3 linked regions of the Drosophila melanogaster genome follow. The protein of the gene in region 2 purifies or fractionates together with the protein of the main gene of each other region. This does not show direct contact. Each region holds a gene or a part of one and is shown on either strand. Other genes may lie near its edges.

Evidence for each region. Proteins that work in one complex are often made in the same cells at the same time.
Region 1: the proteins of Phb1 (region 2) and CG14005 purify together in Drosophila melanogaster (affinity purification with mass spectrometry, with the first as the bait; one large-scale study listed by BioGRID). This does not show direct contact.
Region 3: the proteins of Phb1 (region 2) and CG1354 purify together in Drosophila melanogaster (affinity purification with mass spectrometry, with the first as the bait; one large-scale study listed by BioGRID). This does not show direct contact.

The regions. Positions count from the first base shown.
Region 1 is NT_033779.5:5,799,713-5,803,802, reverse strand, and holds CG14005 (uncharacterized protein), read left to right. Parts: upstream 1-1,827; 5' UTR 1,828-1,916; coding exon 1,917-2,131; intron 2,132-2,194; coding exon 2,195-2,933; 3' UTR 2,934-3,286; downstream 3,287-4,090. Other genes in the region: CG7239 (uncharacterized protein), read right to left, coding at 1-1,031, 1,091-1,398.
Region 2 is NT_033779.5:19,120,459-19,125,594, forward strand, and holds Phb1 (prohibitin 1), read right to left. Parts: upstream 3,412-5,136; 5' UTR 3,299-3,411; intron 3,196-3,298; exon of another isoform or gene 3,099-3,195; 5' UTR 3,095-3,098; coding exon 2,663-3,094; intron 2,360-2,662; coding exon 1,961-2,359; 3' UTR 887-1,960; downstream 1-886. Other genes in the region: l(2)37Cb (lethal (2) 37Cb), read right to left, coding at 3,593-4,220, 4,288-5,136. UniProt on the Drosophila melanogaster protein: Required for larval metabolism or for the progression of the larva into a pupa.
Region 3 is NC_004354.4:9,776,917-9,782,898, reverse strand, and holds CG1354 (uncharacterized protein), read right to left. Parts: upstream 4,158-5,982; 5' UTR 4,090-4,157; intron 4,032-4,089; 5' UTR 3,986-4,031; exon of another isoform or gene 3,966-3,985; intron 3,942-3,965; exon of another isoform or gene 3,848-3,941; 5' UTR 3,838-3,847; coding exon 3,657-3,837; intron 2,713-3,656; exon of another isoform or gene 2,693-2,712; coding exon of another isoform or gene 2,659-2,692; coding exon 2,598-2,658; intron 2,389-2,597; coding exon 2,007-2,388; intron 1,741-2,006; coding exon 1,171-1,740; coding exon of another isoform or gene 1,081-1,170; 3' UTR 805-1,080; downstream 1-804.

The DNA.
Region 1 (4,090 bases), about 13 Mb from region 2:
GCAGCTGAAGGACGTGGCTCAGAATCTGCGCCTGCTGCTCAAGACACTTGGGGAAGAAGGTCTGCATGAGGTCGACCTTGCGTTCCTCCAGCTCCAGTCGCTGCCGACATATCTTGGTTTGTTCGTAGAGCAGCTGGTTCTTTCGCCGAACTTCCTCCATGTAGAGCGCCTCCAGCGAGTCTGCGTGTGGGGGATTCACAGATCCGAATGGACGACCGCGCTTCCGTGGCACAGGGACGGGGGAGGCGCCAACGACGGCGTTGTTGGTGGTCGAAACTGGAGCTGCAGCCGGAACCGATGCCGATACCTGTGCGGGCACCGGCGCTGGCATGCCTCCGTTTGCGTTTGTGGCCACGCTGATGGTGTTATTGCTGCTATTGATATAGGCTACCGCCGTTATGGGCTGATGGTTGACGGTCGATGTGGCCGCAGTGCTAATAACGCTGTTGTTATTGAATTGAGCCGGCTGCTGCTGAAATTGCGACTCATAGTTTGTTTGGAACTGCTGCTGTTGTTGCTGCTGCTGCTGCAGTTGTTGCTGCTGCTGTGGCGTCTGCAGCTCGAGCAGCTGAGCCGGCTCGGCTGGGGAATACTGTTGCAACTGCTCCTGAAAGGGAATGGAGCGGTACTCATCGTCCTCGTACTCCTGCTTGACCACCTCGTCATACTGGTCCGTAAACAGCTCCGTGTTGAAGCTAACTCCGCCGCTGGTGTTGTTGTTGTGGCTGCTGCCGTGATTGCTATTGCTGCTGCTATTGTAATAGGTGGCAGTGCTTGGCTCACTGGCCAGTCCCAAGCCTTGCTGCTGCTGCTGCTGAACGGATTGCTGCTGTGGCTGCTGCTGCAACTGCTCTGCGGACGCATCATCCCGGGGCGGTGTCATGTCGCGGTTGTTGAGCAGCGCCTCTGGCGGCAGCGGATCGGCGTTCTTGGGCCTGTGCAGGTTCTTCAGGATGCGATTGATAATGTCGTACTTCTTCCAGCGCGTAGCATAGCTCGAAGGATCCGCCTGCAGCTGTTTTTTGACTTGCCTTAAAAGGGAAACCAGTCAGTTAATCCGGTATAGCAAAGTGTCTAAACGGTTACCTACCTGAACTTGGCCCTGGTCTGGTTGACCTTCATCTGGATCTCCTCGGGCTTCACGTCCACGGCGAACCGGTCGCGCAGTTCCTCGGCCCACCGGCCAAAGAAGATGGTGTTCTTGCCGGTGCGCGTCAGGCGCCAGTTGTCGCGTCCCCAGATCTCGTACAGGCGCTCCTCCTCGCTGGGCGTCCAGTAGCGACGCGCCTTCTCCTTGCCCCTGCCATCGAGCAGCTCCTGACCACCGCACATGCCTAAGTCCTGCTCGGCACCGCTGCCGCTTCCGCCCGCGTTCAACGCCAGCTTCTCGTAGTCCATCGACTGCTCTGCACCGGCTCCTGATCTGCTCCCGCAGATGTATCCCTGTAACGTTGCCTTTGGATATGCGATCTCCACTCTAGTTACACAATGCGACGCTGTGGTAGAATGGTTGAAGCCAAGTGCAGTTTTTCCGCACAAAAAATCAACAACAGCTCTGATACACAGAAGAGTGTGACCTTGCGGCGCGAGAACGCCGAAAATGCCTAGATTCCTGAGCGAATTTCCTGAAATAAGTAATATAATAAATTTCATTTAGTACCATATCAGTATCATGTATATACTACAGCTGGGAGAATGGCTTTGGGGCTAGTCCAATATTAAGAAATAAAATTATTAAGATATTAGATATATCTTTTCCAGATTTCAATAGCTCTATAAGAAAATTTAAATCATTGATGGTATTTTTTGGCGCCTGCCGCGCTCAAGCGTTATTGGTATTTCCACGCCTGGTCCTTGGTCACGTACGAAAATGTTTGGATTATAACGATTCCACAAAATTGAAATTAGACCGGAATATGAGCGGCCAGAAGCACCTGCGATTGCGCTACTACACGTCGCTGGAGGAGGCCATGCTACTGCGGCTGTGGCGCGAGCACCTGCATGCCATACCCTCCTACACGGACAACCTGCCCATTTTCCGGGAAATCGCGCACGGCCTGCAGCAGAACGGAGTTCGGCTCAATAAGCAGGAGGCTCGCCGGCGCATCAACAGCTACCGCAACAAGTATTTGTGAGGCGCAGCAGCGGCTCGGGTCAGTTCACAGTGCTAATATCTCCTTCCACTTCTCTGCAGGAACGATCGCAATCGCGTGGGGGGCAATGCGAACTTCGCGAAGGATTGGCGTCTCTACGCGCTGATCGATTGCCTCTTCTGTCCTGCCTGGCCGTCGTCCGCCCTCTTCCATTTCCGCAATGTGCTGGAGACGATCCGTGCGACAGCACGTGTGGATTTGCCCGCCCTGCCGCCACTGCTATACACTTCGCCCGCCCAGCTAAAATTTGAGCGCGACTCAGAGGGATGCACCTTCCTCGATGCCCAGCCCCTAGTTCCCGCAGTAGTGAAGACAGAGCCTCTGCCAGACGAACACCACCAGCTGGTGAATATTGAATACAAGCCCACAGTGACGCAGCTGGAAAACGCGGCTAGCCACTACCTGGAGAGAGCTACTGCCGAAAGTGTCATTCAGCGGTCGCCTCTCACGCCTGCCAACCACATCCTGCCCGAGGCAGAGGATGCGCCATATGGAGGCCACACCAACGGTGGCCAGACGGACGCCGAACGTTCGGCGAGCAAAAGGAGACGAGGGCGACGTAGTATACTGCCGCACTCGGGCAAGATCACAATGGCAATAGTGGAGGCGCTGCGCAAGGAGAACAGTTTGCTCGAGCAGCAGAACGACGCCTGTCTGCAGTCGCTCGTGCGCAAGGAGAAGCAGTTCCTGGACATGAAACATAACTTTCTGGCGTATATGGAGCGGCAGGAGGCAGTGCTGGCGTTAATAAAGCAAACGACCATCAAGCTGGAACCATGATCCCGACTACTAGCACCACGTGGTAAGGACATTGTATGACAGCTTTAGCTTTAAGTTGGGAATAGAGTCGCGGCGCTCGACCCTGTGTATGTTTTTCAATTCGTTCCTTTCTCAGACACAGATGTCTAATTCACTCGACGTACAAAGCAGCAGCATAGCGAACCGAAGATATTATAATTTCTCAAACGTTCTTTTTCTAGCGTCATAAGTGTAATGTGTATGAACAATCGTCTGTGCAAAAGATCAATCTATACGGTCTTTAGTCTTAAATTAAAAACATTGTCTTGAGGCGAACTTGTATGGTAGCTACATTTTTAAAAAAAAAACTAAAACTAAACAACTGGCTAAAAAATAAATTAGATGAAAGACTATTATACTATATATATATACTATACTATATAGACTATACTATTATTTCTATTGTTACAGAATATCTTGTTGATATAATAGTAACGAAATCAAACATAAATTCAAATGAAATCAGTGTGAATAGCCTATTAAGTTTTGCATTTCGATCAACTTAGCGTGTGCAACAACCGCCGGTTATTTGTTCATCAACCCCTGCTGCAGCAGTGTGGCCGTAGCCGGAATGTGAAAATATCCGCAAACACCGCATGCGGACCTCTCTTAGTCGCTCTCTTAGCGCACAATGCGCTCTCTGCCAACCGAAATGCCACAGACTTTTTGTAGGCTTTTCCACTTTTTCGATTTCGAGACTTCGAGCGAAACGGTCGTGTTTTTCGCGTGTGTGCGGGTGGCGGACGCGCGTGCCAATCGGAAAAGGCCTTTAAATCAAATGAGTGGCTCGCCAAAGGAGCGCATCAAGGTGTGTGCGATTGTATCGAGTGTGTGTGCTTGTGCGGTGCGGAGAAAGCCAGCCAGCCGCCAGTCTGGGATAAAAATAAAGATTAAGATTGGGATAAAACAAACGAACGGCAGCGAAGTGCACAAATTGCCGTGGAATCGGGGCTAAAGAAGGAAAAACAAGTGTGCAGCACACACGGATTGAAATGTTTGCCAATGTGTGCGAGCGTCACCTAAATAAACAACAAAAAATTCGATTTGCAGCAAAGAGAGCGAGCGAGTGAGAGAGCGCGAGAGTGGGAGGCTGTTATTGTTGTTGCTGCTGTTGCCGCCGCTGCATGTGGCATGCCCGA
Region 2 (5,136 bases):
ACACTTTTTTGGAACATGCATTAATTGGGCGCTGAATCAGTAACTGGATATCAAAGGCTTTATTTTCCATGGATTTATTTAGAATTTAAAAAAATATATATATATACATACATGCAAGCTATTACATTTTATTTGCCAGCTCTGTGAACTTAATTTGATTATTTTTGAAATTAGTTTGAGAACCTAGTGATATTTAAAACAGCAAGCAAAACATTTTGAATTCTACTCACGTGCTTCCCAACTCGAATTTGTGGAAAGAGAGCGATCTCGTCAGGAATCCCCCAATTATGAGTCACTCGAAACAGGGTTTTTCTTGGACTCCCCGAAGAAAAAATCACGCAAAAAAATGTAAACAAAGTTATATTCGTAGGAAAGACAAGAAATTGATTAAGCCGTGGAATGGCACGCTTTACGCGCATCTTGGAAACCGGTTATTAGAGCACCACATATGACGTGCTTTTTGAACCGCTCATGGAATTGTGACGTCAAATAATCCAATGCTCTCACTCACTTTCGCATTGTGCTAGGGGAAGTGGGCTAGGTTGAGCCTTTTGAGCGGGCAGTTCCGCATACACTGAGAAAAATTCAAAATTACTATAGAAAGCTAACGACTTTTGGATGCCAGTTACTTGGCCGGAATTTCAAAATTCAGTTGAAATATCAATAGAAATTGGCAAGAAACAATAAATATGTGGCTTAAATGTTTATGCCAAATATATCGAGAGATATAATACAAAAATTCAAAATATTTTTCAAAACTGTTTTCGTGACCGTTTTTTTTTTTTAAAGTTCCCAAAATCTCGAAGTTTATACGGACAGACAAACATGGGTATATCGGCTCGGCTAATGATATTGGAATACGACAGGAAAATCATTATCTTCCTTTAATTACTATTTAAAAGAATCAAGTAAACACTTTTAGCCTACGACAAAAGAAAATAATTTCTTTCAGTGTAGGGCTGCTGAGAATCCTGCGGGTGGTCCAACTGTTGCTGAGTGCGAGCAAAGTGCGTGTGCCTGACATTTCAACGAAGCCACTTTGGCAAATCACTTGGCTGAATCAACAGATTTATACGCCATGCCAACGGCTCTGCTTTCGATTTTAATGCGCTGGGTGCTCCACCCACACGCCAGCCAACAGCCACCAGCCACCAGTCGCCCAACTACCCACCCACATTATGCTGCTTTACGGGTGGCTGGAGTTCGGGTCGATTGAGGCGAAGAATACTACAATTTGATTTATGACCATCTTGAGTTGCGAATGAATGCGAAAGTATTCTCCGCTTATAGGGGTCGAATGGCGCCTTTGAGAGGGGGATTGCATAAACAGGCATCATATGGGGTAAACAAGGGCCGAGATAAGCGAGCGGGTGTTTGGTGTACACATCACATCGCTGAGCTTCAATAGGTCACGTATTTTGTCTAAATCTATATGATATGGGCAAGTGATTAGATTCGTTTTAGGATCGATCTGTAATTAATTGGGAAAGTAAAAGTAAAGTAAAAAGAAAGTAAAAGTTCATAAATTAAATAACATTTCCTGCATAACCATAACCACACTCAATTTAAAAGCCCACTCATGTAGGGATTATCATTTATTGTTTGTTCACATAATGAAATTTTCTTACGGTCTGTGTTTCTTTCAATTACTGGAGTTGTTTTAAGCCCGGTGCCGATCTTAAGGACCAATTCAGCAGGACGCGCACACGAACGACTCAAACGGAAACAACAAAAGTTGAGCCGCATTCGGAGCGCACACTGCGACCGGATTTCGAACCCGATCGGGAAGATAATGGAAAAACCGATTACATGAGACAAATTTTGGTTGTTTCGCTTAGTATTCTCCAGTCAGTCGGGCGCGAACGCTTTAGAGTAGTGCATATTTCAGCAGAAACAAAATCGAAAAGTACTTAGTAAATGCTATAGGTAGTTACAACTTAACGGAACTAGATGCACCCAGCTACTGCGCGATGGTCGATGGCAGATTGAGCAGCGTGCTCTGTCCGCTGGGCAAGTAGGCGACACCACGGGACCGGGATAGCTGGTAGGCGATATCCTCGGCGGCCTCAATACGTCGCAGCTCCACCAGACCGTCTCCGGCCTCGCCGAATGACTTGGCCAACAGGCCAGCGGCTTCGGCATCACCCTCCGCCGAAATGATGGACGCCAGCTTCTGTTGCTCGGCCTTCTCCACGACAAAACGCGCCTTCTCCGCCTCCTGCTGGGCCACCTGCTTCATCTCGACGGCCAGCGTGAACTCCCGACCGAAGGTCAAGTGCGTGAGCGAGATGTCATCCAGAATAAAGCCGAACTGCTTGGCACGTACAGTCAGTTCCTGGGAAACGCGCTGCGACACCATCTGCAAAGAGGTAATCACGTTAAGTACGGGCATGAAAGTATTATATTTCCGACTGCATAAGTTGAATAATAATCCAATTCTTAAGCTTCAATTCTCAAAAGAGCAATAAGCCTAGACTTAAGCGCCGAGATCGCGTTCTTGCTTACACAATCAAATTTAAATCGAAAATAAAATACGCGTGAAATACGATGAGATCTGATGACCTGATACTAAGTAAACATAAGCGCCTCTGGTGAAACACAAGGCCCATCAAAAAAGCTTTATCCTAAAGAAACTGAGGGCTCTCCTGATGTTTTTACTCACCTCACGCTGGGTGATCAGCTCGCCGGCGTCGAACTGGGCGACCACAGCCTTCAGCACCTCAGGCGCGATGGAGGGCAGGACACGCTCGTCGTAGTCCTGGCCGAGAATGGTGTAGATCTTGGGCAGCTGGTCTGGAATGGGGCGGTACAGGATTCGGAGCGTGATGTTGACATTCTGCAGATCCTTGCTGCCCGTTATCACAGGAACGTTGCGGGGCTGGGACCGGATGTCGAAGATGATGGGCCGCTGCACCCATGGGATGAAGAAGTGGGTACCCTCGCCGACCACGTTCTCCTTGATGCCGGTGAAGCGATCGAAGATGACCGCCCGGTGGCCGCCTTCCACATTATATAATGCCGAATTGACAACGCCACCCAAAACGGCCACTCCGAGGCCCATTTGGCCAATGCGATTAAAGAACTGAGCAGCCATTATCCTTTGAATAAAACAAACGTAATGTATTTAGTTACTGTTCTATAAACTATATATGTAAATGAAAGCCGACTGGACTTGGAAATTTCATCAGTTTTTAGGTTAGAACGTCATGGTTTAATGACAATGTGCTGTTTGCGTGTTTTTATCCCCTGTTCTTCCTGGTCTTCAAACGCAGTTAGCTCGGCTCGCTCATAGACTCACTTGTTAAAGGTTTTTGGTTGCACTTAAATTAAATTATTGTGCAATTTTGCTCTTTGAAATGCAAAACACGAAATACAACCACACGGCCTGTTATCGATAATACAACTGTCGGTGGGGCCGCCATATATCGAAACGTACTAATAAGAATCGTATTCGATTGTTTCCTAAGATTATCGATTATCGAAATTTAAAAAGAATAATAATAAACAAAGCCAGTTTACAATATCAAACTACAAATGGTGAAATTTACAATAAAAGTTTATTATTAATTGAAAACTAAAAACCCCCTCAAAATTATTGCGCCATTTCGGCTCGCCCGGCGACTTTTGGCATCTTCTTGTTCGTCGAATCCTCCAGCTCCTTGGCCTTGTAGTAGTGCGGAGCCACCTCCAGCAACCACTTGCTCTCGATCTCTATAACCTGACGCATGTACTCCTTGGAGGTGAACACCAGCTCGTGATAGAGCACCCAGCGCGGCAGCTCCTCAAAGAGCGAGGAGTTCGGATGTATCATCACGGTCTGATTGTGCTTGATGGTCTTGTAGTGACCGCCCTTCGAGAGTCGCGCCACATGGTAAAAGTAACCAGCGGTGGCTGCCTTGCGCACGTTTACTGTTTCTGGCAGGCAGCTGACCATGTCGATCTCGACACGCTGCATCAGTCCCACCAGCTGCTCCCGCACGTCGCGAGCCCGCTTCATCGATCTGTACTGGATGAAGTTCTCGTAGCACCACTGGGTGCTGTAGTCCGTCTCCGCCCACTGATTGTAGACCTGCAGGAGGCTCAAGTGGTCGCCGTGCATGTGATTGAAGTTTTTTCGGGCTGTGTCCGCGTGAATGATTTTGTCCTTGGGCCTGTAGAAAATGGCGCTATTCACGGACAGCATGGCTGCAATGGTCACCATCTCCTCGGAGCATTTGTATCTAAAACAAAAATATACGAATATTATACGAATTATTTCACTTCTGGTTTGTTAGATCGATTACATACTTTTCGCTTGCCAGCAGCATCTTGCCCATCATGGGATCCACGGGAAACTCGGCCATCCGTCGACCCAGCTTGGTTAACTCTCCATGGTGATTAAGTGCACCCAGGGCATATAGCTGCTCCAAAGCCAATACCAGTGTCTCGTGCGGCGGAGGGTCCAGAAAGTCGAAGTGTATCAGATCATTGATGCCCAGAGCCTTTAGCATGAGCACCGCATTGCCCAGATTAATACGCTGTATCTCCGGAACGGTATTGTCCTCCAGTTCATGCTTGTATGCCCACGCCGTATACAGACGGAAGCACTTTCCCGGAGCAGTTCGTCCCGCTCTGCCCGCTCGCTGATTGGCGGAGGCCTTGGAAATGGGCACCACCATAAGCGACTCCATGCCAGTGCGGGAATTAAAATTGTTCTGCTTGGCAAACCCAGGATCAATTACATAAATGATGTTGTCGATGGTTAGCGAAGTCTCTGCGATATTTGTGGCCAGGATAACTTTTCGGGCATTCGGCGGTGTGGGTTCGAAGATTTTGGCCTGCATATCACTCGGTAGATTCGCATAGACGGGTATAACGATCAGCTCACGTATTTTGGAGCCCAGCCGCTTTACGCGATCATGCAGAACCTCCTGGCAAGTCTCGATCTCATCCTGACCCGTGAGGAAGACTAGAATGTCGCCCAAAGGTTGAGTGGCATGAATCTGCAAAACTGAAACGCAACACGCGTCGATGTAGTCCGCTTCCGGAGCCTTGGTGTAGAATATGTCCACTGGATAGCGGCGACCAGGTATCCGAAAGATGGGTGCATCATCGAAGAACGCGGAGAACTTTTCCGCATCCAGAGTGGCACTGGAA
Region 3 (5,982 bases), on a different chromosome or scaffold from region 2:
AAAAATAGTTTATAAAATTTATTTAAAAAATAGCTAAAAAATAACTGCACTTATATGTATAATTTTTAATGAGTTGGTAGTAAAAAAAAGTCTTGAACTATGAATCAGGTCCTTTATAAGATAATATTTGAATATTTTGAGGCATTCTTCTTGCACTCAAAACCATAATCCCAAAATGTATAGAACATTTTTGAAACTTTTCCTTACTTTCATTGCAGACTTTTGAATTATGCTCCACATTTCGAGCTCGTCACACGGTGCACAAGAAAAGTTTCTTTTGGCAAAGATTAACAGAACCCAGAAGCAACCGAAAAAGGGTTTGAGATTGGGATTTAGGGGGAATGTGCGTGTTTCTGGCGGCGCATGTTTGGCAATGCGGTAAACCAAATTATGTGCTTAGCAAGTTGCCGCTGCGACCAGAGTCAGTGGAACCAGCCAACCAGCCAACCAACCAGGCAACCAGCCAGCTACCTCAACCACCCGATCCTTTGTGTACTGGATGCAGCTGCATTTGCACAGAGCAACCAGCGCACAGCACAGCCCCTGCTCCCTCCTTTTGAGTCTTTGTGGCACAGCTCCTTGCACTTGGCCGCTTTTCCTGTTGGCTCTGGTGGCAAAGAGGTTTGCACAGGTGTTTCCAACAGCAACTTTGCCAGCATGATTAAAAAGTTTTGCCACGGCTCAGCAATAGAAATCCGAGACTTCGGTTACCACAATGTCAATGCCTGACAAGGGATATGTCATTTCTTATTGTTTGTTGCTAGCTAGGAGCAAAGGGATAGCAACACAATACTAGTACTTGCCAAATCTACAACCTGATTTTATTACTTGCATGTTTAAAAATCTCAATCCCATGACAAATGATCATATAGCCACAAAGATACATAGGTAAATTCTTATAGAATATTCAAGTATCACTGCGGATTCAAATGGTGCTCCAGTTAACCCGCCTGTTACCATAACAAACAACGACTGAGATTGTGTGTCATAAGCGTGTTTACATAGCGTACAAAAAAAAAGGAAATTCAAAATGCATTTTCAGGCCTCGAACATGAGAGTGAGGGATGTGATAATGAGGAGCTAGCCTCTGGCGAAGCGAAACATCTGGGAGTACAAGATCAAGTTAATGTACAAAACGGTGGACATGGCGATGATCATGGCCAAACGGTATCATTTCTTCTTGGCATCCTTGAGGCCAGCGCCGGCGTTGAACTTAAAGAATATGATGTCGCCATCCTCGACGGTGTAGTTGCGTCCCTGTTGGCGATATTTGCCAGCGGCCTTGGCATTCGCCTCACTGCCCTCCGCCTTGAAGTCCTCGAAGTGCATCACCTCGGCCATAATGAAGCCCTTCTCGAAGTCGGTGTGAATGCGTCCGGCAGCCTGGGGAGCCTTGGTGCCCTTCTGGATGGTCCAGGCCTTCACTTCATCCGGCCCGGCGGTGAAGAAGTACTCCAGCTGCAGTCCCTTGTAGCCGGTCACAACGATCTTCTCCAGCATACTTTTGCACTTGGTCTCCGTCTCGTAGGCCTTGCGCTCCAGTTCGTCCTTTTCGGTCAGCTGGTGCTCGAAGGCGCCGGAGAAGGGAATGAGCAGTGCTCCGGGATCGTTCTTGTCGATCCATTCCTTGATCTTCGGCAGCCACTTGTTCTTCTTGCGGATGAAGTCCTTGTCCGAAAGGTTCACCAGGTAGATGACCGGTTTGGAGGTCAGGAACAGATACTTGTTCAAGGCCTCAATCTGAAAGAGCAAAGTAGTGGTGGCGTCAATAAGAACGGGAGGGAAAATCACAAGGTCACACGAAAAAAAACCACAGATTTCGCTGTTTTGTTGGCAAACAAATAAAGACGATAATAACAACAATGAATGAAACACGAATACAAATGCATTCTTAATAAACAAATTTACAATACAATATTTTATGGATATCCCCTTGTTTTTAAGTAGAAAGGAATAACAATAAGCGTTAGTGCCACCCAGCGGATGTGGATTGTTTTCGTACTTACATCATGGGCATTCCAGTCCTCGAAGCGCAGATGACGCTTCTGATCGATAAGGATATCCTTAATCTTAAGCATCGAATCGTATTCGGGCTTGAGCTTCTTGTCGCCGCCGCGGGCCACCACCTTCTCCAGTTTGTCCAAGTTCTTGAGCAGATTCTCCTCGTCCTTGAGGCGCAGCTCCTCGGAGATGATCTCCAGATCGCGCACCGGATCCACCTCGCCCTCCACGTGGGTCACATCCGGATCCTCGAAGGCGCGGCACAAGTGGAAAATGGCATCGCAGGCGCTGATGTGCGAGAGGAAGTCGTTGCCAAGTCCCTGACCCTCGGCGGCTCCCTTCACCAAGCCAGCAATGTCCACGACGTTCAAATAGGCAGGAACCACACTAGTTTTTTTTTTTTAAATACTTATTACTTTCGATTGTGCAGAACTTTTCTATTAAACTTAACAAGCAAATGGCAAGCAAATAACGAAAATAGCAAGTCCCGAAACTTGTTACGCGTTTTAAATGCGTTTCGTGATGCAGGTATATGTTTTTTTTTGTTACAAGCAATGGAAAACTAAAATGCAATGGATTTGTATGCTCCAACTCACCTGGCCGGCTTGTGGTACTCCACCAGGTAATCGAAACGCTCATCGGGCACCGGAACACGACGTGTGGGTAAGGCAAAAGCCATCGGCGGCAGCATCAGCAGGAGCAGATGAAAAGAAGAGGTAAGACGCATGTTAGTCGGGATGACTTGGCTGGACGCAGAAATGCAGAAATCCAAAAATACAAGAATATGAAAAAACAAAAACGATTGACTGACTGACTGGCTTGGTAGCCCGGCAGCATCGGCGGCCAATCATGGCAATTTTCTATAATTTTGCGCCATCCGCAAAGGGGCAGCGAAACCAAAATGAAGTCGCTCACAAATAAAAAGCGCAGGAAAATGAAACCGAAACGAACCGAAGGCGGGGGCAATTTGCATATTGGGAACTGGATCTGATAAAATTGCTAAGGCCGCGACACGCCCACAACGCGAAGGACAGTGAAGCATGGTTAGCTCAACTTTTAAAGGTGCCTTAAATGAATACAAATATGGTTTCTTAACTAATTTATAGAGTTAAGTGTGCGAAACTATCTGTTACTTCTGTAGTCCAAAAGGAATGGAAACATGAGAACACTCTGTATGAGATACATAGTAAGGATAATCTATAAGATCAAATGCTTATAGCTTGAAGTTTGCTAAAATTGAAGTTTTCGTGCTTTAACATTTGGAATTATCTACAATTGAAGACTATTTCTATGATAAAATGGTTAATAACCAGAAGGTATACTAGCCATAGCATAGTGTTTAGATCTAAGTTCCTGACACATTGAATCCCCCACTTAGCTGCGAATCTCAGAGATTTGTGTTACCTATCGAGGCTGCACTGTGGCTATTTTAGAAGGTCCAGTCGAGAGAGCAATTTGGAATTAGAAGCGGCGGCGGTTGCTCCTGGAGGCCATTGCTGCATCGCCGGCATAAAAATTATATTCCACGAGATGATTACAATGATCGAGGAAATTGCCACCGCCCGCAGGTTCGCCTGGTAATTGGCCAGATATATGTATGTAAAGATATATATATATATAAATATATATATATGTGTGTGTTGGGGAATACTTATTCTCATTCGGCTTGATGGTGCAGAAGGGGAAGTTCTCCGCGGGGGCGGCACTTTGGGTCAGAACGTTGAAAAAAGTGGACTTGCCCACGTTGGGAACGCCAACGATACCGATTCTCAGATTCGTTCCAATTCTGCCGATCAGCGGCTTGCGCTCCGGTTCGTCGTGCTTCTTGGGCGGCATCTTCGTTGATCTGCGGTGATATGGCAAGTCGTTAGTTACATATATCCGATTAATCAGGTATGTAAATACATATATGTATATGCATTTAGATGTCAACTATTTTTATATGCTGCCGGACATAACCTCACATTGCCGGCTGCTAGCTCACCTAGCTCACTAAACGCGTGGATGCTGTCCACTGAACTCAGCTCCAGCTGTGGATGGGAGTTAAGGTTAGTTATTGCCAAATGAACTTAAGCCCCTGTTATTTACAAATATTTACGAAAATTTAAGCGTCCGCTGTTTTTTGCGGCTGACGGCGTGGAAGGAAAGAGAGCGAGCGAGATGGGTATAGGCCGGTCAGCTGTTGACGCGCAGGGTTGCATGCCGACTAGCGCCCCCGGGCGGTTGAAATGGGCGTCGTAGCTTAGCACCGCAGGCGGTAGGGGGCGCCAGCGGGCAGGGCGCGTAATTTGAATTTAGCTCGAGGGCTATGTTATTATCGCACTGGAATTTCAGCATTTTTCAACAGGTTTGACGTCTTCTTACATTATAATTGTTGTGCGGGCATAAGTTTACTTGTGCTTTACTGGTTTGCTCAAAACGAATTGGTTAATAAGGTTATCCTATTTAAAACCTTTATATAATTATATTGCTTCCTAATTAACTCTATCAAATTAAGTGCCACAATATACGAAATATATTGCTGTTATAATATTGTACCCTATTTTATTGAGAACTATGCAATAACTGCCAAGGCTTGAAAGCAATGCGATCAATTTGATGGTTTAATTTTGTCTAGATATACAGGTCGTGTTCCTTCTTCCCAACGCCTTTAGTTTTGACCAGGTTTTCAGGTAAATGCGATCGAGTTAACTGTCAAGGTCGTCGGGCCGACGCACGTACACGCAATTTGGCGGTTTAGTGAAAAGCCCGCAATAATCAATAATTTCGCATAATTAGCGAACCGATCGGCGGATCGATTCCCTGCCTTTATGGCCAACTGAAACGCAATCCGCACGATGGGTAGAAAAACGAAAAGTCGTCAGGAGGAGAGACCAAGGGTGGTTGAGAATCAGGTTTGTTGATCTTTCGCGACTGTTTGGCAATCGATTTGGATCGTTGGTCGATGCGCTTTGATTGATTCCCTGGCCCGCGTTTATGGCCCTAATTAAAAGATCCGTTATGCGTGATCGGTCTACCTTTCAGTATTCGAATATCATGTGCGTGCTAGAAAACTTACTTATAATTTCACGCTGTCTTGCCTCCTCGACCAGTTTCTTTACTCAAGGCATCTCTTTGCGGTTGTCCGACCGTTTAAAAATCCATTTGCAACTGACCCTGGACAACTGTTTTTCGTTTTTTGTTTTCATTCTTTTTTTTTCCACTGGAGCATGTAATACCTTTGTAATGTTTGTCCACAAAACCGCAGGAGGTCCACGCCTGCTGACGATTGAAAGTTTTTCGATCGATTTGTGGTTGTGTATGCTCTTATAAACAACCTGCATTCTGATCCTTTACAAAAGTCGAATACTATCTTATTGGTTTTGTATGTTTATTGAAATATCAATGAAGCAACGATTTTAACAAAAATCAGCATTTAAGATTACTTACTTTCCTATATTAGATTACAAATAAACACAAGTGCATCAAGAATGAAATCTCGACCACATATAAAGAAAAAATATTTAACAATACGCAGCAAAGTTCCATTTTCACACATTTCCCAGAAATGTTTCATTATTAAATATATACAACTTTCGACACAATTCCAAGGACTCTGCGCTACGCCCAAAAGTTATTCAATTTCCAGCATGATTATTTAACGCTAAGCCGGCTTATTTTGCATATTATTTGTTGTTTGGGTTAATTAAGCTGACTTTTAATTGCCTTTTATTGCACTTAATTATTGGAGTCGGGTAGAAAATGGTGCCCGCATACGGTCGCTGGCAAAAGAACGCGAATGGGGCACGTAGCTGGGGCCTCATAAATTTGTATACATATGACTGACTAATTGCGGTTCCCGCGGAATTAGCCCAACGAGCCACCACGCATCTCGATTTCCACTCCCATTCGCACCCACATTACGCGCGGGGCGTGGCCACAAAAAAAAAAAGAAAAAAAAATGTGAAAGAAGGTGGCCAGGGCATTGGGGGCGTGGCCGCG